4 linked regions of the Drosophila melanogaster genome follow. The protein of the gene in region 3 purifies or fractionates together with the protein of the main gene of each other region. This does not show direct contact. Each region holds a gene or a part of one and is shown on either strand. Other genes may lie near its edges. The genes, in order: Dis3, Mtr3, Spt6 and Ski6.

The links.
Region 1: the proteins of Spt6 (region 3) and Dis3 purify together in Drosophila melanogaster (co-purification; one study listed by BioGRID). This does not show direct contact.
Region 2: the proteins of Spt6 (region 3) and Mtr3 purify together in Drosophila melanogaster (affinity purification with western blotting; one study listed by BioGRID). This does not show direct contact.
Region 4: the proteins of Spt6 (region 3) and Ski6 purify together in Drosophila melanogaster (co-purification; one study listed by BioGRID). This does not show direct contact.

What each region holds. Positions count from the first base shown.
Region 1 is NT_033777.3:24,331,460-24,337,780, forward strand, and holds Dis3 (Dis3), read left to right. Parts: upstream 1-1,973; 5' UTR 1,974-2,033; coding exon 2,034-2,413; intron 2,414-2,465; coding exon 2,466-2,910; intron 2,911-2,973; coding exon 2,974-4,052; intron 4,053-4,108; coding exon 4,109-4,777; intron 4,778-4,834; coding exon 4,835-5,210; 3' UTR 5,211-5,574; coding exon of another isoform or gene 5,575-5,611; 3' UTR 5,612-5,789; downstream 5,790-6,321. Other genes in the region: Rrp5 (ribosomal RNA processing 5), read right to left, coding at 1-1,625, 1,682-1,762; CG6432 (uncharacterized protein), read left to right, coding at 5,575-5,611.
Region 2 is NT_037436.4:19,911,885-19,915,523, reverse strand, and holds Mtr3 (Mtr3), read left to right. Parts: upstream 1-1,808; 5' UTR 1,809-1,894; coding exon 1,895-2,045; intron 2,046-2,103; coding exon 2,104-2,933; 3' UTR 2,934-3,119; downstream 3,120-3,639. Other genes in the region: Rpn1 (regulatory particle non-ATPase 1), read right to left, coding at 1-333; Prp3 (precursor RNA processing 3), read right to left, coding at 3,196-3,639.
Region 3 is NC_004354.4:6,265,984-6,273,844, forward strand, and holds the start of Spt6 (Spt6), read left to right. Parts: upstream 1-1,813; 5' UTR 1,814-1,923; coding exon 1,924-1,962; intron 1,963-2,123; coding exon 2,124-2,208; intron 2,209-2,783; coding exon 2,784-2,989; intron 2,990-3,141; coding exon 3,142-3,261; intron 3,262-3,330; coding exon 3,331-3,482; intron 3,483-3,547; coding exon 3,548-7,861. Other genes in the region: schlank, read right to left, coding at 424-608. UniProt on the Drosophila melanogaster protein: Histone H3-H4 chaperone that plays a role in maintenance of chromatin structure during RNA polymerase II transcription elongation.
Region 4 is NT_033779.5:13,220,896-13,224,061, forward strand, and holds Ski6 (Ski6), read right to left. Parts: upstream 1,535-3,166; 5' UTR 1,466-1,534; intron 1,413-1,465; exon of another isoform or gene 1,336-1,412; 5' UTR 1,327-1,335; coding exon 586-1,326; 3' UTR 502-585; downstream 1-501. Other genes in the region: mRF1 (mitochondrial translation release factor 1), read left to right, coding at 1-370; CG16812 (uncharacterized protein), read left to right, coding at 1,834-1,852, 1,977-2,393, 2,450-3,037, 3,096-3,166.

The sequences.
Region 1 (6,321 bases), on a different chromosome or scaffold from region 3:
AATGAGCTATTTTCCTTTAGATTCTGCCTGTGCAAAACTCCTTTGATGCCGTTGCCGAACTTCACTAGGACGTAAGTGTCCTCACATCGGACTACTGTGCCCATATAGACGTTTCCAACGTGAGCGGACGCATAATCAGTCAGAATTTTAATTCCCTTGCCCAAATACTCGGCACGATTGCTCACGTAGCAGATTTTTCGCTCGGCATTAACTTCTAGGACGCGGCACTTCAACGACTGACCCACATCGTAGCGGACATTGGGTGCCAGATAGAACTGTTCCAGTATTCCGTTGACCTTGCCGATCCTCACCGACCAGCCCTTGATCTTGTCATCCTTCTTGAATATTTTCGCTGTGACCAGATCGCCGGCATTAATATCCTCCAGGCAGAACAGCTTTTCGTTGACCACGTTGGGATCATCGGAGCAGTAGTACAAGGATTCGATGACATCGTATCCTAGGATGCGAACCTTATGCTTCGTTTTTCTTCCGTATTTGGACAATACTTCGTCCTTGTCATAATTTCCCTTGAAATTGCCTCTGATTGAACCGTATGAGATAATGCCCTTTAGTTTCTTATTAAGAAGCAGTACCACGCCACCGCTGCCCAAGCGCAGAACCTTGGCTTTTTCCACCACGGAACCCACCTTTATGGGCTCTACCTCCTGCTCTTCCTCATCCTGATCTTTTGCTACTGCAGCTCCAGTTTTGATATCCAGATTAAGAGTTAAGTACACTAGTTTGGTTAGGGGCATCACGTAGAGTACCCTGGCATTGTAATCCTCATTCAGCTCGTAGGCATCCAAAGTATCCAAAGCGTTAGCTAGATGATGTTCGTTGACGTAGGCACTAAAGGATTCATTCATGATGCTGCCTTTGAGGCCATCCTTCAGATGCTTGGCCACCTTAAACTTTACAATGCTGCCTGGCAGAATGTAGTCGAGATTCGTCTCGTTTTGACTCTTGATGCGCAGCTGGTCCTGCTCCACCTGGACACAGGTGCAGGTGCTCTGGTGGGTGTCGTGATGAACGGTTTTGACTTTTAGGAAAGCCAACTGCCCCACGTGTAGCTTCTGAGCTGGCTTCTCGCATGGCACGAATGCCTGAAGTCCTTGTACTCCCGACTCGATGACATAGCCGTGCTCCAGAGCCTCCGCCACGGCGCCAGAGAAGATGAAACCCTTCTTAATGCTCTTGTGATGCAGATTACCGTGCACATCGGCCGGCTTGAGGGAAAGGAGCAGGCTAACCCGACCGGTGTCCAGCTTTTCTGTTTTGATGGCCTTGCCGTAGACGATGCGGCCCAACTGGAAGAGCTCGGTAAGGTCGTGGTACTCGCTGGTGTCTCCGGACATGGCCGCCTTGGCCACACGGGTGTAGGCGTCGGATATATCCGCCACCAAGGTGCGGGCGAACATCCGACCGGGCAAAGCGATCTGCAGTGCGGTGGCTGTCAACTCCTTGACCACTCCCATGACCAGCATGTCCTCCTGCAGCGTGTCCATATTGAGCGTTTCCGCGGAGAAGGCCTCCAGTTGGCCATTTTGTTCCTCGGTTTCGTAGCTCAGAAGGTTCTCTTTTACTTTCGGCGCCTTCTTCACCTTCTTCTGCGAGGCACCGAAAACCTGTGGGACAGAAAAGTATGTACAAAGATCTCGGATATTTCGCTGGCTAAACTCACGATATTCAGGCTCACGTCGTCGGTTTTGACTTCGCTGTGGATTGTCCCGCCTCGGGGAAAGCTTTTCTCGTTCGGCACCATCCGGGAGCTGTGTAATTTAGCGTTTTAAATAACAAAATTTGAGCAACGTGCGTTCTACACGTGCTAAGCGCCGATATAGAAAATCAGTTCAATAAATGGTACTAAATTATACCTTAAGATACGGGGCAGTCCGTAGACTCAAACCACTGTGACCATTGCGGCTGCAGTGTGAACAGGCCTTAGGCAGATAATACCGCAGTCGAATCATGCACGGGCCTCCCTATTCCGGCACACATGTGAAGGTGTAACAATTCGAACGCGGTTCAACAAAATGCAAACTTTACGCGAATTTACGCGTAAAACCAAGCGCGGCAACATTCTGAAGATTGTACGGGAGCACTATCTGCGCGACGACATCGGCTGCGGCTCCGAGCTGTGCCGGGAGTGTTTCCAAAACGAGGTATACCAGCTCACCTCGCAGCACGCGAATAAGAGCACCCTCTTCAAATTCCCGCACTATCTCGTTTTGGACACAAATGTGGTTCTGGACCAGATCGACGTGCTGGAGGAGGATGTTTTGCGCAACGTAGTCGTTCTGACCACCGTGCTCAACGAGGTGAAGCACAGGAGCTCCGCCATTTACAAGCGATTCAATGAGATCGTCCACGACCGCACCAGGAACTTCTATGTGTTCGTCAACGAGCACCACAAGTGGGTTAATGGATTTTCTTGGGAAACCTTTATAATATAGTGCTTCTTCTAGGGAAACCTATGCTGATCGCGAACCAGATGAGACCGCCAATGATCGCAATGATCGGGCCATTCGTCTGGCCACCAAGTGGTACGATGATCACCTGCAGGCCTCGCAATCCTCTAAAGAGTTCGAGCGCAGTGGCAAAGCTGCTACGCGAGTTGTTCTGCTCACAGATGATGCTGCCAATCGTGCTAAGGCCGAAGCAGAAGGTATTCTGGTGACCACAGCAGCGGAGTACGTGAAATCTCTCGAGGATTTTCCACTTCTGATGGATAAGCTGTCGCACAAAACATTCGACAGCGAGAAGAATGGTCTGCCCCAGTACCCGCCGCATCTCAGCATGAAGGAGCTGCTGGAAGGACTGCGCCAAAATAAGCTACTACAGGGCACTTTTCAGGCATCCAGGGAAAACTACTTGGAGGGCACCGTCAATGTAGAGAAATTCGAAAAGGGGGTAAGTTAAAACGCTAAATATCTTCCCTGGCATACGCTTCACAATACGATTTCTGTTTAATAGATCCTTATCCAAGGACGCGAGTCTCTTAATCGGGCCGTGGATGGCGACCTGGTGGCCGTGGAGCTTTTGCCCGAGGCGGAGTGGTCAGCACCCAGTGAAATTGTACTGGAGGAGAAGAATGTCTATGCCGATGAAGTGCCCAGCGAGGAAAGGGCCAAGGATGAAAATGAGATGTTGAATCAGGTGCGTGCCGCTGCCTTATCCGCAGAGCGCACGCCCACAGGGCGAATTGTCGGTATTGTGCGACGGAAATGGCGACAGTATTGCGGCATCCTGCAGCCTAGCTTAATAGAGGATACAAATCGGCACATCTTTGTGCCCGCCGACCGTAAGATTCCGCGCATCCGTATCGAAACGCGACAGGCAGCAATGCTGCAGAACCAGCGCATCATCGTAACGATTGACACATGGCCGCGCAACTCGCGCTACCCACATGGACATTTTGTGCGCTCCCTGGGACCGCTCGGAGACATGGCCACCGAGAACGAGGTTATCCTGCTGGAGCACGACGTCCCGCACTGCAAGTTCTCGGACGAAGTGCTTAGCTTCTTGCCGAAAATGCCCTGGACAATTACTGACGAGGACTATTCCAAGCGTGTGGATCTGAGGGATCTGTACATTTGCTCTGTGGATCCCCCGGGCTGCACGGATATCGATGATGCTTTGCACTGCAAGGAACTACCGAACGGCAATCTGGAAGTGGGCGTTCACATAGCCGACGTAAGTCACTTTATTCGTCCAGGAAACGCACTGGACATGGAGGCAGCGGCCAGGGGAACCACCGTGTACTTGGTGGGCAAACGAATCGACATGGTACCCGAGTTACTCAGCTCAAATCTCTGCTCATTGGTTGGCGGTGTTGAGCGATTCGCCTTCTCCTGCGTGTGGGAAGTGGACAATGAAGCAAATGTGTTAAGCAAACGCTTCCACAAGAGCGTCATCAAATCGAAGCGTGCCATGACCTACGAGGAAGCGCAGAATATCATCGACGATGCCACGCAACAGAATGAAATAGCCAAGTCCCTGAGAAATCTTAATCGGTTGGCCAAAATACTGAAAAAGCGACGAATGGATAATGGGTAAGATTATATTAACACCTCGTAATCAAGTGAACTAAGGCATCCATAATTTACAGAGCCCTTGTCCTTGCCTCCCCGGAGATCCGCTTCCAGGTGGACAGCGAGACACACGAACCACTCGAGGTGGAGGTGAAGCAGATGCGCGAGACGAATTCCATGGTGGAGGAGTTCATGTTGCTGGCCAACATCACGGTGGCCGAGCATATCGCAACGGAGTTCTCCGAGTGCGCTGTTCTGCGTCGCCATCCTCGGCCACCGCCTACCAATTTCGATCCGCTGGTAAAGTCTGCGCGCTACCAGGGCTTCCAGGTGGACATCAATTCGGGACTGGAGCTGTCGCATTCACTGGACAAGTGTGTCAAGGCGGATAATCCGTACTTTAACACAATGATCCGCATCCTCACCACACGCTGTATGATGCAGGCAGTGTACTTCATCAGCGGCAGTCTGCAGAAGGAGGAGTTCTTCCACTACGGTCTGGCTGCTCCCATCTACACGCACTTTACGTCGCCCATTCGTCGTTACTCCGACATTATGGTACATCGCCTGCTGGCCGCCTCAATCGGCGCGGATAGCACCTATGCCCAGCTATTGGACCGAAAGTCAAATGAGGAGCTGTGTCATAATCTTAACTACCGCCACAAAATGGCTCAGTACGCTGGTCGCGCATCAGTGGCCCTCAACACGCATCTCTTTTTCCGCGGCAAGGAGGAGGATGAGGAAGGGTGAGTCGAAGAAACCACTAGTGGGCAACATTCTTTTCAATTATTACCCATCCCTAGATATGTGCTATTTGTGCGCAAGAATGCTCTGCAAGTGCTAATCCCCAAGTATGGCCTGGAAGGCACTTTGTATCTAAAGTCGGACAAGGATGGCAAGGACGGTGTGGAGCGCGTCAAGAGCGAGATTGTCTTCACCTTCAACGAAGAGGATCATACACAGCGTTGCGGTGACGTGGTGTTCCACTCCTTTGATCCAGTCACGGTTCGTCTTAGCCTGGATTCCAGCAATGTGCAGCACGAGAAGCTGATCTTCCGGCTGGTCAAGCCGTACATCAAGGGCTTCAGCGTGGAAACGACCACCGAAGGAACTGATAGCCAAGCGGTTTCTGCGGCACCTCCATCGAAAAAGACAAAGAAGGATAAGAAAAAGAAGTAATTCTTTGGATCTTTGCTTATGTGGAACTAGACTACGCTGAAGATGTGTAACTACAATCATTTCGTATAAATAAAATGTAAGGTTTTTAAATTCCGCTCCGTTTCGTAAACCTTTTCCACCGTTCCGGCTCTGCCGATCTCGGAGAGTTTCGAAAGCATACCTTTGATCGGGTGTTTTGTTTAAGGTTTTGGTTTCCAACTTGCGTTCTACATTCTCCAGACCCATTGCAAAGTTTCGACTACAGTGCGACGGTTGTGCTGAGCTCGTTTGATCCAAAAAATTCAAAAAGAATATATATAATAAATACATATATACATTAACTTGACTTGAATATATACAAGAACGGAAGTTATACAAAGTTACAATGGAACCCGGTCCTAGTGCAGTGAACTACGAAGGCAGTAAGTCGAAAAAGGTTTCGAAATTCATATGAAAAGGCTAAAAAATTTAATCAATGAGTAATCGCGTGATTTTTGCGGAACATATATTTATATCGGTACACATATTTTAATACGCATATTGAAAACATCAGTTAAAATAAACAACTTTTAGAACATCAAATAAAGTGCTTGGAAAACTAATATGCCAACTTTCGTTGTGATCTAAATGAATTCTATAGATTTTCGAATTTTCCAAAAACTATCTAAGTGGAGTCCAACTTTTTACAATATTCTTGGATTCTTGCAGTGCGATGTAGATAGATAGATAATTTATGCACAAGAGTTCAAGGTGATAAATATTGTGTTTTAAACCACTGCTCGCCAATTAAAATAATGAACTTTCGATGCGACTTTGAAGTGATTAATTAGTGTTTAGTTGTGCGCCCAAACTGTCGGCACTAAATATTAATGAATTCGATTAGCTTATTCAACAAGGAGGCTTTTAGGTCCAATATCCATCGCCAATCACGTGTGGATTATGCTCGGCGTCTGGGTGAGCCGCACACCCGACGCATATGTGCAGTACATGGGTGCCAGGTTGGGTATATAGAAATCAGTTGAGTGACCGCGACATTTGGAAAATTTAAAATTCAATGTGCCTGGTGTGTGTAAGGTGGTATGGAGTGGAAGGTTTGTAATTTAGTTTGATAGCCTAATTAAAAGCAGCGATT
Region 2 (3,639 bases), on a different chromosome or scaffold from region 3:
CATGTGCTTGTACACCGTCTTCATGGTTTCGTAGTGCGGGCGCATGAACTTCAAAGGCTTGGGCACCGAGGTCATCGACGTCGTGGAGGCTCTGATCAATTTGGCCATACTCTCCAGCGTCGGCTGGTAGAGCTTGGCATCCGGCTCCTGCAAGTGCTGCACCAGCAGCTCCAGCTCCTCCTGCAGCTGCTGGTCCTCGTCGGAGAGCTCCGGCTGCTGCTCCTTGTCCTTGCCGTCCTTCTTTTCATCCTTCTTGGCCTTCGGATCCTTGGCATCGCCTTCGGATGCCGCCGGCTTCAGCGGCTTCTTCTCCAGCTTGGTCTCGCCCGTCATGATTTCTTTCCTAGCTTGTCGGACTTAAGGGATTTAATTGGCACTACGTTTTCTTCGATTGTAATGCGGTTTATGCGGCTTTGTTCCTTCTTTTTCGTTGTTGAAACAGCAGAATTACACAGCGCTTTTTGCAGTGTGACCGCGCGGCGAACGCCAGGCTATGCCGCGCTAATCTGTTTAAAATACCAGAATAATCAGCTACCGTTACCACGAGCTGGTAACGTTCAAATAGTGATGGCAGTGACTTTCACCTTATCGATTTTTAGGGGCCTTGCCAATCAAAATTGAAAGGTTTAGAAAGTGAAAGAAAAAGCTAACTATATTTGTGTATGTGTATATATTTAAAAATGTTGTGATATGCAGATATTTTAAATATCCATTTAACTTCCGGCCTTTGCAGTTGTATTAGCTGTAATTCCTTGATATCAACGGAGATCGTTTATATTTTCAAACATGTTGGGCTACTTATGACACAATGCGTTATTTTCTGGCCAAAAAACTCTTGTCTGCTTTTGCTGCGGAAGTATTTGGTGAAGTAGCGAGTCCCAATATGCAAAAATGGGTCTCTTGAAATTAACTGATCTAATCTGATTTCTTCAGAAATTGGTTGATGGTTGGTTAGGATGTTAATGGATCTCTCTAGTTCCAACATTCATCCTGCGTAATATCTTCGTGAGTTTAGGAAAAACATTATTTCACTGACACTGATTCATTAGATGAATTCTCGGCATCTCCTACAAAACTGTCTCCGTCATCGGACCCCAAAAGCTGTGAATTTGAGAAATCCTCTTGATCCGAGGTATTGTGGTTCTAATTTTTTTCTCTCTTGACTTTCATATCAGCAGCAATGGCAGAACTTTTGGTCCTGCAAAAAAAGGAATCAGTCGTCAGGTGTATATAATATTAGAGATATGGGTTTCAAACTATGAATGGGTAACTCCGAAATAATGGCTATTCCGCATGGCTTTTACTTGTCTTGAATTTTCTTTTAAGATAATACTAAAGCTAGCCTCGCAACTCTTCACTGAAATTCAAAAGTAAAATCTATAACGCGGGCATATATCCTACCATCAGTATTCTATTCCGCGACACACTATTCCAGGCCTGATGCAAGGCCATCCATGGCAGTGCTTCTTGTCGGCCATATTCCCAGAAATCTCTTCAGTCTGTACCGAGTGGATTAGCGTTATCTTAAGCGTTGTTTTACACTTCGGCAATCGATTTTTCTGCGATTATATTTAAGCTCTTTTTTCTCTTAGTAACAAAGAAAATACTACTAAGTTATCAATTATCAGAAGGAATCAAAACATTATTTAGACTTTATAAATAATTAGCACAATTAGCACTAATAAGAAGACTTATTTTAGGTTCTTATTATTAAGGTTCTTTGAAGGTTTTCATTCAAATACGATAACCCACGAAACGATACAGAATCGGTATAAAATATCGAAATATACAAAAATACCAGATTTGTATTTTAATCGAAAACTTAAAAGTCTTTAGACCACATGTGAACTCAGTTTGTTTATTTTTATATTCAATCAAAAGATATAATATAAATATGCTAGCGGTGAACCAGACGAAGAACACCCTACTCGATGGAGCCTCCATTGAGGAAGAGCCGTACACAACTCCGCAGGAAAGCGAGGATTTCTTTGAGAGTCTAGACAAACCGTCGAGGGAGCCAACACAACTGGCACCCAGAAACACCTGTTAGAAGTGCACATCCTTATTTGTATTTCAATTTCTCATACCTCTTGTGACTTACAGTCATCCGCGCCGGTGTGTTGACCACAGTGAGAGGTTCCGCCTACATGGAGTATGGTAACACCAAGGTTCTGGCCATTGTGGCCCCGCCAAAGGAGCTAATCCGCGCCAGCGCACGCAGAATGAACATGGGTGTTCTGAATTGCTATGTGAATTTTGCGGCCTTCAGCACAGGGGATCTAGATTCGGTGCCGGAACGGGAACGCCACCTGAGCAGCATGCTGACCAAGGCCATGGAGCCGGTGGTGTGCCGCACGGAGTTCCTTAACTTTCAGCTGGACATACGGGTGCTTATTCTCGACGATGACGGCTGCCTGCTCAGCACTGCCATCAATTGCTGCGGAGTCGCTTTGGTGGAGTGCGGCATTTCCACTTACGACTTAATTACGGCCTCCACAGCTTGTATCTATCGGGATCACGTCTTCCTGAATCCCAGTGCCAAGGTTGAGGAGCTGCTCTGGAAGCATCGCAACAGCAGCACCGATAGCACAACCAGCCCATCATCCGCCCAGGAGCACGGCCTGATCATTACCGCCAGCATGGATACCTTTGAACAGATCGCCCAGTGCCAGCAGTGCGGATATCTCAGTCCAGCCACCTATGTAAAGCTGCTGGATTACACCCTGGCCATTAACAAGTCCCTGAGAGAACTAGTCAAAGGCGTGCTCACGAAGCGGGTGAAGGAGCAGCACGAACTAGATCTACGCGAGAAAGCCGAGACCGCTCTAGAAGATCAGCGTTTGGAGGAAATAATCGAGAAGCTAAAGAAGCAAGGACCAGAGGAGTTTATACAATCGAACATCCGGGAGGATCCCTATGTAAAGAGGCAGTAGTTGGTTGAGAATAAATCATACTAATATAAATCCCAGATCTATTTGAACAACAACCACCACTTAAAAAATGATTACTACAAATATTTAGAGTCCAGATAAAACTTTTATTCGTTATTTTTGCACTTCCAAAGTTCCGAATAGCTTCGAAAATAATAACATCAAATGCGTAGCGCGCTTCAAAACTTTAATTCAGACTTGTATCTTTCCGAAAGTGAATTTGTAGAACTGTAGTGTATCTAGCAATTCTTAAAATGCCTTTTATCTACTGCTGATCCGTGGAGGCCTCAAGCACGGCTCCGGAGTAGGCCAGATCCCAGTAGTGTTCGACCTGGTGCTTCTGAAAAAACTCACGGGCCATTTTTTCCATTGGAAAGATCTTAAACTTGATCTCGCCAAAGTGCCGTCGCTGACTAGTCCCCTCCCAGACGAGTACGCATGAGTTCGGCACGTCCTGGCCGTCATTGCCCTTGGCGTTGTCCTCCTCCCACTTAATGCGCGTTAGCATGAGCCTGCGATACTTTTTCTGCTGCTTGGGCCCACCCTCCACGACAACCACACAGCAATCCCGGAACAACACCACGCTGCCGGTCATCTGCAGCTGCTTGGCATTGGTCTCCACCTTGAATTTCTTGCTCTGGTTGTCCTGCAGATCTCGTATGCGATAGACGCTGACATGTACACCGCAGCTGGTGTCTTCCCTCAGCTT
Region 3 (7,861 bases):
GGGAAAACTTCGAGTTGCAGCAACAAAAAACGCGTGTATGCCGCACAAACCGCACACAAGCAAACAAGCGCTGTTTCACACACACACACATATATATATATATTTACACGGACGCTTGCAGAATGTTGGGCGTTTCCACGTGAGGTTATGTTTGTCGATAAAAAAAAAATGAAATGAAATGGAGAAAAGAAGGAATTATGAATAAAGTTTACTGTACATGGTGCAACAAACGTGGGGCGGTGGGCTTACTCAATGGTAAGGAGAGCGAGAAAGAGCGGGAGAGAGCGAGGGAAAGCCGTATGAATGGGGTTAGAGAAAGAGGCGGAATGGAATCATGTTGCCGGGAATGGCGAGAATGGAAAGGGAGTCAGTCAGTTGGTTGGGAAGAGTGCGGAGGGGGGAAAATGGACGTGGAAAACTTACCGCTCCAGCGTGTAGCGGACCAGCATGACAACAGCGGCGAATGGAATGGGCCATATGAGGTCCTTGTAGTTGGCGTGCACCACATCTGGACGCGAGCCGGGCGCAATGTCCGCCCAGGTTGTGTTCGGCGGCAGCCAAATGTGCGTACTCCAGAATACATTGCTGAACTCATTCAATATGTCCATGTTGCTGCTTCAGTTGCCGCTTCTTAATTTCTCAATTGTTTGTTTTCTTTTTCTTGGTTTTCCTTTGCTTAGCTTTCCAGTTTTTCCTTGGCGTTTGTTGTCACATATGTATATGCTTTGCTTTTTCTAAATATTCGCAATTGTATGAGCCTGTGTTATTGTGCCTTGCGAACAACAGCAACAATAACAGCAAGAACAACAATAAGCGACAACAACAGCAACAAGAACAACAACAGGAGCACCGGACACTAATGCACACTCACAGCGTAGCACAAACACACACTGGCAAAAAAACAAAAACCGCCGAATCGAATTGTTGTTGTCTTGTCTCGTTAACTTGCGCTTATGGCTTTTCTAATTCTACTTCTATTTCTATTTGGATTTCGATTTAATTCGTTTTTGGAAATGCTACCTTTGCCGTTTGTTTGGGAGCGTAAATGAAGTGAAGTTCCCTGACAATCTGTTCTCGACCAAAGCAATAGACTTTCTGAATTTCGGCTCGGTGTCGAGTCGGCCGCCGCTCGTTTCGTCCACTTAAACTTTCAGGATGAACGAAAAAAAATACTAATAGTATTTCCTCGTCGAGCAACAACAATACAGTGTGCCCAGAGACGGCGGAGCAGTAAATGTAACTGCAGCGCGACAAGTGTGCCCGTGTACGGGAAGACAAGGAAAGCCAGCAAAAATAAGGCTTTAGAAGCTACACAAAATACCAAATGCACTAATAATTTTAAAGAACTTTTAATTCACAAGTTTGCGAATTTTGTTTATTGCTTATTATTATTATTGTTCATTACGTTTACCACTAGTTTTTGAGAGAAATTATTATGCGCTACAATTAGTGTTGGTTTTTCGGTAAGAACTCATAAAAGTCAACTATGTAAAGGAAGTATGCCATGGACTATAATGGAAATTAGCAAACTTCATCGTTGAGACCAAAGGGCATATGTGTGTTCCCATATAGGGGAATTTTCCCGCTTATCAATACAAGTATGTGTGCAAAATTCTTGTCCAATTGTTGTCAGCACATGAAAACGGATAACTAACCATAGGTTATAGGAAGGATCCACTGTAGTTCTGCAATGCAAACCAGGGCTGGCAGCGAGAACACTGCTGTAAGCTAACAGCAAACTGTACTGTAAACAGTAGAAAACTGTTCGTGGTATTTAGTATTTAGCTAGTATTTTAATACCAACTTTTGTGCAATGCGATGAGAAATAAAGAAGAAGAGAAGAGGAAGAAACGCTCACAAACTCTTCGTTTCTCTGCATTAATACGCACTTTATTATTAAGTTAAGCTTTATTCCATTATATTATGGCCGAATTTCTGGACTCCGAGGCCGAGGAATCGGAGGTAGGTGTCTGCGGAACCCCAAAAACACTATTTCTAGAAGCGCGTACCGTTCGTGCGTCGTTATGTGTGCGGTGTGCGTTGCGCCTTGCGTGTGTGTACATACATATGTGCCTACATATATATTGAATTAACCAAATGGCTTTTCTTCGTTTTTCCCGCAGGAGGAGGAAGAATTGGACGTCAACGAGCGCAAGAGACTCAAGAAACTGAAGGCGGCCGTCTCCGATAGTAGCGAAGAAGAAGAAGGTGAGTTTTTCCACTGGAGCCGCTGAAGGCGCGTACAAATACATACATACATACATACGTATGTGGCGATCTCTGGCGGGTTTTTCACCCCTCTCACCATCCATCGATCGGAACAGTCCATATCCGGGATAAAGGCACCTATAACTGGCCAATGCCACACGCTTGCAACTTCTTTTGTTTACAACTTTGAGGTTAGGTCTTGTGTTTTTACCGTGCTACCGTGGCCATCAAATATCAGCATCAGCAGTAGCAATAGCAGCAGCAACAACAACAAACAGCTGCGCTCGTTCCAGTAAATAAAACAAGTGCGGCGAATTGGAAGAACGCGGCGTATTCCAAGAAATTGCAAATCAAAGCAGGGAGGGAGAATTAGTTCAATAGATGGAGCTGGAATAATCAATGGTTAGGGCTTATCTATATCGAAATCTAGGTAATTTATCAAATGTAGGTCTTTCTCAAAACCGGGTGAATTACTTAAATTTAAGCTTTAAAAACAGTTTTCAGTTGCATATGTATATCTGCGGCTACAATGAAGGTAAAAGGTAAACCGATATTCTTATTGCCCTATTCCGTAGACGACGAGGAACGGCTGCGCGAAGAGCTCAAAGATCTGATCGACGACAATCCCATCGAGGAGGACGATGGCAGTGGTTACGATTCCGATGGCGTCGGCAGCGGCAAGAAGCGCAAAAAGCACGAGGACGACGATCTGGACGATCGACTGGAGGACGACGACTACGATCTTATCGAGGAGAATCTGGGCGTCAAAGTCGAGAGACGGGTAGGTGTTCCCTTCAGGGAAGAACTATGTACTTTTTAAACTCCAATTGTGGCTCCAATTTCGAAGCTTAACTAACAAAGAATAACATAGCTGAGGGATTGGGGCTTCTATCTCCTCAAATATATTGTTTGAAATTATGTTTTCCCTTGTAGAAGCGGTTCAAGCGTCTGCGTCGCATCCACGACAACGAAAGCGATGGCGAGGAGCAGCACGTGGACGAGGGTCTGGTGCGTGAGCAGATTGCCGAGCAGTTGTTCGACGAGAACGATGAGGTATGCCACTAGTAATCCCTGACCACCAATTAATGCACAGTGTCCAACTGATTGCCCCTGATCCTACAGAGCATTGGTCATCGCAGCGAGCGCAGTCACAGGGAGGCGGACGACTACGACGACGTGGATACGGAGTCGGACGCAGATGACTTCATTGTGGACGATAATGGGCGTCCCATAGCCGAGAAGAAGAAGAAACGGCGCCCCATCTTTACAGACGCGTAAGTATACAAACTATAATAAAGTTTAGATATCAATAGATACGATTAATATAATCCAACCACAGATCACTTCAAGAGGGTCAGGACATCTTTGGCGTAGACTTCGACTATGACGACTTCTCAAAGTACGAGGAAGACGACTACGAAGATGACTCGGAAGGAGATGAGTACGATGAGGATCTGGGCGTCGGCGATGATACGCGCGTCAAGAAGAAGAAAGCGCTCAAAAAGAAGGTGGTCAAGAAGACAATCTTCGACATATACGAGCCCAGCGAGCTCAAGCGTGGTCATTTCACCGATATGGACAACGAGATTCGCAAGACAGACATCCCAGAAAGAATGCAGCTGCGAGAGGTGCCCGTAACCCCGGTGCCCGAGGGATCAGACGAGCTGGACCTCGAGGCTGAATGGATCTACAAATATGCCTTCTGCAAGCACACTGTTTCGGAACAGGAAAAGCCGGAGAGCCGCGAGAAAATGCGCAAACCACCGACAACCGTTAACAAGATTAAGCAGACGCTAGAATTTATACGCAACCAGCAGTTGGAGGTGCCCTTTATAGCCTTCTATCGCAAGGAGTATGTGAAGCCAGAGCTTAATATCGACGATCTCTGGAAGGTTTACTACTACGATGGGATCTGGTGTCAGCTAAACGAGCGAAAGCGCAAGCTAAAGGTGCTTTTCGAAAAGATGCGTCAGTTCCAGCTGGACACGCTATGCGCCGACACAGATCAACCCGTACCGGATGATGTTCGCCTCATCCTGGACAGCGATTTCGAGCGCCTCGCCGACGTACAGTCGATGGAGGAGCTAAAGGACGTGCACATGTACTTTCTGCTGAACTATTCGCATGAGCTGCCCCGCATGCAGGCGGAGCAGCGACGAAAAGCTATACAGGAGCGTCGCGAGGCCAAGGCGCGTCGCCAGGCAGCCGCCGCTGAGAACGGTGATGATGCGGCCGAGGCGATAGTTGTACCAGAGCCGGAAGACGATGACGATCCCGAGCTGATCGATTACCAACTAAAGCAGGCGTCCAACAGCAGTCCCTATGCGGTATTCCGCAAGGCGGGCATCTGCGGCTTTGCCAAACACTTTGGTCTCACGCCGGAGCAGTATGCCGAAAATCTGCGCGACAATTACCAGCGCAATGAGATCACCCAGGAAAGCATCGGTCCCACAGAGCTGGCCAAGCAATATTTGTCGCCGCGCTTCATGACCACGGATGAGGTTATCCATGCCGCAAAATACGTTGTGGCCCGACAGCTGGCACAAGAGCCTCTGCTGCGCAAGACCATGCGTGAGGTGTATTTCGACAGAGCTAGGATTAACATACGGCCCACCAAGAATGGCATGGTGCTGATCGATGAGAATTCGCCGGTGTATTCGATGAAGTACGTGGCCAAGAAGCCGGTAAGCGATCTATTTGGCGATCAATTCATAAAGCTAATGATGGCCGAGGAGGAGAAGCTGCTGGAGATAACGTTCCTCGAGGAGTTCGAGGGCAATGCGTGTGCCAACGGAACACCCGGTGACTATGTGGAAGAGTCCAAGGCCCTGTACCAGCTGGATCAGTTTGCCAAGCACGTGCAGGAGTGGAATAAGCTGCGGGCGGAATGCGTACAGCTGGCGCTGCAGAAGTGGGTCATTCCGGATCTGATCAAGGAGCTGCGCTCAACTCTGCACGAGGAGGCTCAGCAATTTGTGCTGCGTTCCTGCACGGGTAAGCTGTATAAGTGGCTAAAGGTGGCACCCTATAAACCGCAACTGCCCCCCGACTTTGGCTACGAGGAGTGGAGCACGCTGAGGGGCATACGGGTGCTGGGTCTGGCCTACGATCCCGATCACTCAGTGGCCGCTTTCTGTGCGGTGACTACCGTGGAGGGCGACATCTCCGACTACCTGCGACTGCCGAACATTCTGAAGCGCAAGAATTCTTACAACCTTGAGGAGAAGGCCCAGAAGTTGGCCGACCTTCGAAAGCTGAGTGACTTTATCAAAATGAAGAAGCCACACATTGTTGTCATCGGAGCGGAATCGCGCGATGCCCAGAACATCCAGGCAGACATTAAGGAGATTCTGCATGAACTCGAGACCTCCGAACAATTTCCGCCCATCGAGGTGGAGATAATCGACAACGAGCTGGCCAAGATCTATGCCAACTCGAAGAAGGGCGAGTCTGACTTTAAGGAGTATCCTCCTCTGCTGAAGCAGGCTGCTTCGCTGGCCCGCAAGATGCAGGATCCGCTAGTGGAATACTCACAGCTGTGTGATGCGGACGACGAGATTCTCTGCCTGCGCTACCATCCGCTACAGGAGCGTGTGCCGCGCGAACAGCTGCTGGAGCAGCTCAGCCTGCAGTTTATCAATCGAACGAGCGAGGTGGGTCTGGACATTAACCTGATGGTGCAGAACTCACGGACCATCAACCTGCTGCAGTACATCTGTGGCTTGGGTCCGCGCAAGGGTCAGGCTTTACTTAAACTTCTTAAGCAGAGCAACCAGCGGTTGGAGAACCGCACCCAGCTGGTCACCGTGTGTCATCTGGGGCCCAGGGTCTTTATCAACTGCAGCGGTTTCATTAAGATCGATACCTCATCGCTGGGCGACAGCACAGAGGCGTATGTCGAGGTGCTGGACGGGTCGCGTGTGCATCCAGAAACGTACGAGTGGGCCAGAAAGATGGCCATCGATGCCATGGAGTACGACGACGAGGAGACCAATCCGGCCGGTGCCCTTGAGGAAATTCTCGAGTCGCCAGAGCGCCTTAAGGATCTCGATCTGGACGCATTCGCTGTGGAACTGGAGCGCCAGGGATTCGGCAGCAAGAGCATAACCTTGTACGACATAAGGAACGAGTTGAGCTGCCTGTACAAGGACTACCGCACTCCGTACACAAAGCCCAGTGCGGAGGAGCTCTTCGATATGCTGACCAAGGAGACGCCCGACTCGTTTTATGTGGGCAAGTGCGTCACGGCCATGGTCACCGGTTTCACCTACCGTCGGCCGCAGGGCGATCAGCTAGACAGCGCAAATCCGGTGCGTCTAGATTCCAACGAAAGCTGGCAGTGCCCCTTCTGCCACAAGGACGACTTCCCAGAGCTGTCCGAGGTGTGGAATCACTTTGACGCGAACGCGTGCCCTGGCCAGCCATCTGGTGTGCGTGTGCGTCTGGAGAACGGCCTGCCTGGCTTTATACACATCAAGAACTTGTCCGATAGACAGGTTCGCAATCCCGAAGAACGTGTGCGCGTCTCACAGATGATTCATGTTCGCATCATTAAGATAGACATTGACCGGTTCTCAGTCGAATGCTCTTCGAGGACCGCTGATCTTAAGGATGTGAACAATGAGTGGCGGCCGCGTCGCGACAACTACTATGATTATGTGACTGAGGAGCAGGACAATCGGAAAGTGAGCGATGCCAAGGCCAGGGCTCTGAAGCGCAAAATTTACGCGCGTCGCGTAATCGCCCATCCCAGCTTCTTCAACAAGTCGTACGCGGAGGTGGTGGCCATGCTAGCGGAGGCCGATCAGGGCGAGGTGGCCCTGCGTCCGAGCAGCAAGTCCAAGGACCATCTGACAGCCACCTGGAAGGTGGCCGACGACATCTTCCAGCACATCGATGTGCGCGAGGAGGGTAAAGAGAACGATTTCAGCCTGGGCAGAAGTCTGTGGATCGGCACCGAGGAGTTCGAGGATCTGGACGAGATCATCGCCCGCCACATCATGCCGATGGCCTTGGCTGCCCGCGAACTGATACAGTACAAGTACTACAAGCCAAACATGGTGACCGGCGATGAAAATGAACGGGATGTCATGGAAAAGTTGCTGCGCGAGGAGAAGGCAAATGATCCGAAGAAGATACACTACTTTTTTACGGCCTCACGCGCCATGCCGGGCAAGTTCCTGCTGTCCTATCTGCCCAAGACGAAGGTGCGTCACGAGTATGTGACGGTCATGCCGGAGGGCTATCGTTTCCGTGGCCAGATTTTCGATACGGTTAACAGTCTGCTGCGTTGGTTTAAGGAACACTGGCTGGATCCAACGGCCACGCCGGCCAGCGCCTCGGCGTCCAACTTAACGCCACTGCACTTGATGCGTCCGCCGCCGACGATCTCGTCGTCATCCCAGACCTCCTTGGGCCCCCAGGCGCCCTACAGCGTCACTGGCAGCGTGACTGGTGGAACGCCGCGCAGTGGCATCAGCAGTGCCGTCGGCGGTGGCGGTTCCAGCGCCTACTCCATTACGCAATCCATCACTGGCTACGGCACGTCGGGCAGTTCTGCTCCAGGGGCTGGAGTATCTTCCTCCCACTATGGCAGCTCATCGACGCCGTCGTTTGGCGCCATCAATACGCCATACACGCCCAGTGGACAGAC
Region 4 (3,166 bases), on a different chromosome or scaffold from region 3:
GGGTCTGGCGGTGGAGGCGCAATCGGAACGCTCCCAGCTCAAAAACCGGGAGCTAGCGATGAAGCGTCTACGGTCGCGACTTGTGCAACAGCAGTTGGAGAGCGTTGAGGCTAGCAAAATGGCCACCAAGAAGGCGCAACAGGGTAGTCTCAATCGCAATGAGAAGATCCGTACCTACAATTTCGTCCAGGACCGCATAACGGATCATCGAATTCAAGGCGGTACGCTGCACAACCTCAATGGTTTCCTCAAGGGCGGCGACCAACTGAGTGGACTAATAGAGAAGTTGCAACTGGAACATCGAAGGGAACGACTAAAGGAGCTCTTGGATAGGTGGGAGCCACCAAAAGAAGCTATTGAGAAAAACTAGAGCTACTTTCGTTTGTTACTACATTTATACGCCTGTGTTTTAGAGGATAATTGTGCTTTTGCAACAGAAATTATATTAAAAGAGAGCAAGGGCAGCCATCTGAATACAATGTTAAAGACACTATTTAATTTGTAAATGTTGGTTCCTTTTTATTATAATTGTTGCCCTTCAATTGTAAAAAACGACAAGATTGGAATAGAAAAGATTACTTTATTTCAACCAACTTTCGCAAAGTCAGAGGCACTGCCCATGTGCAGAAGGTGCTCCTTGACTGCTGCCTCCAGAATGTCCCTTATTTCGCGGCAACCCGCCATAGCAGTCTCGATGACGGTTTCCAAGTGATCGATGTGGAACCGCTCACTCATCTCAAGAAAGGCGATTTTCTCGGCGGTAGGCAAGGCAGCCACGGTTAGTTTCGGTCCGCCGGATACCTCCTCGAACTGAGAGATGTCTGTGAGCGGGATGTTCGATTTGCTCAGTGAGGCGGTGCAGGCGACAATGAACTCATTGAGGCAGATTCCCGCATCAATTAGCGCCAGTGTGGCGGCATTAAGAGCCACCGCATAGTTGGCGCCGTCGTCTTGGAGCACCTCCACGTATATGTCTATCTGGGAGCGGGGATATAGTTCTGATTTAATGGCAGCACTTAGCGCCTGCTGCAGGTACAACTTGAACTCCAGAGATTTGCGATCGCCGCGCGGCCTATTTTTGCGCTCCGCCGTGGAGAAGGTTGCCTGACTGTACTGACAGTTGATGACGGACTCTGTCTGATTGCCCTTGGCCTGGTGGGGTCCATAGACGGCAGCCAGAACCTTGGTGTTTCCCTGCTCCATGTAGGCACTTCCATCGGGCTGCTCGAAGACTCCCAGTTTGCACTTGATGCGGCGCAATTCATGAGGACGTCGTCCGTCCAGACGGAGGCCCTGCTCACTGAGCAGATCGTATTTACCAGACATATTTTGAAACTTTAGAAATACAATTATTTTGATTTTAACTAAATATCACACGTGCGGCGGGATTTGTTTACAATTTTAACAACAGTGTGGAAGTACTAAAAATACCGACAGTCCATGAAAAAATCCTTTTTATACTAACTTCTTTTAATATGTACACCGTACGTATGTAAGAGTAAATAAATAATTAAGCATATATTGCCAAAGTGTACTACATTAAATCACGATATATAGAAATTTAATAAGGATTTTAATAAGATTCTTTAAATTTAAATTTGAACAGTGTTTGCTTTGATTACCCCTACTACAACATTTTGGAATTTAACAACACTAACACATGGTCTAATCGATATCCGATAACCGAATACCGATAATCGTTCAGGATTTGTGGTAACTCTAAAATATATAAATAGTTTCGAGTGCAAAAAACGGAATTTATGGGAATAAAATAAATAAATAGTAGCTGAATCGTGTAAGAATCTGTGCTTGCCAGCACCAGAAATACGCAAAATGTCCAAGTCAAGCGCAGGTGGGTTTATAACATCGTGAAAACGAAACAAACTGAACAGACGCTTCCGGGTGCGAAACAAAAATAAAGACCTAAAAAATATCACACACTTTAAAAATAATGAACTCACCACCGAAAATTACAGCACGCTGGGTAAAATTCTTCAATGCGGCCGGCATCCCATCTCCTGCGGCTGCCGGCTATGCCCACGTCTTCGTGGAGAACCGCATCCAGGACGACATGCTGTTGGATCTTAACAAGGAGTATCTCCGGGAAATGGGCATAACCTTGATGGGCGATATAATCGCCATCCTGCGGCACTCAAAGACCGTCTGCGAACAGAATGCCCGGGAACAGGTCCTCACAACGGAGGTGGTTCAATCAGTTGTCCGACCGGTATCGCCAAAACCCAAAGCGCCGGTTGCAACTCCAAAAGCAAAGGTTTATCCGCCTGCGAAACCTGCAAGACGGGTGCTTCCGGAGCACGAGGGCAAGTACAAGGTGACACTGCCCTCGGGAACCACCGAGCGCAGCAAACAGATCTTAGCCAAGCGGGAAAAATGTAAGATTACAGATTTCTAAAGAACAAGATCAAATTTTCAATATATCTTCTTTTAGTATACTCCGATCGTGTGAGCAGCTCCAAAAAGTCGGACATATTTACGCGCCTGCATGCCGAGGACGAGGCGCAGGAGGGCATTGTCTCCAGTTCGGGCGAGAGCAGCGTCCGCGTGCACGTTGCCGGCGCATCAAAAACAGCGGCCACCTCCAGCAATAATTCGGTCTTCGCTCGACTCGGTGGCAAGCAGGGCGCTCTTCCGGAGGAGTTCACTTCGACCAGGGAAATCAAATCGATCCTTAAAAACACACACCGTACAGTTGGTGGTGGAGGAGGAGGAGGAGGGGTCACCAAGAACTCGCCCATTGTGAAAGCGAAGAAGGTGGCCGCTGTAACGCAGCAAAAGGTCATGCTAGTTCACAAAGTGCCTCTTAAAAAAGGCGACGACGACGATGATAGCATGGACGATTTCGAAAGTGACGAAGAGGATTACATGTCCAGCGGAGAAGATTTTGATATGGGAGCCGGCGAAAAGATTGTTAAGTTCGCCTCGACAGCGGAGGTTCGGGAAATCGTTCCCGAATCGGCATACAAAAATAGGCAGGGCAAAAGTTTTGCGAATAATATTAAATCAAGGCTCGGAATGGGTATGTTTGCTTCAGAGCAGAAGTGGCACAGTCAATTAATTTATAACATTTTTTTTAGTATCCAAACTTCATGCCACGAAGAAGACATACAACCTAAAGGCATCGCCTGCAAGGAAACCACAGGCTCGA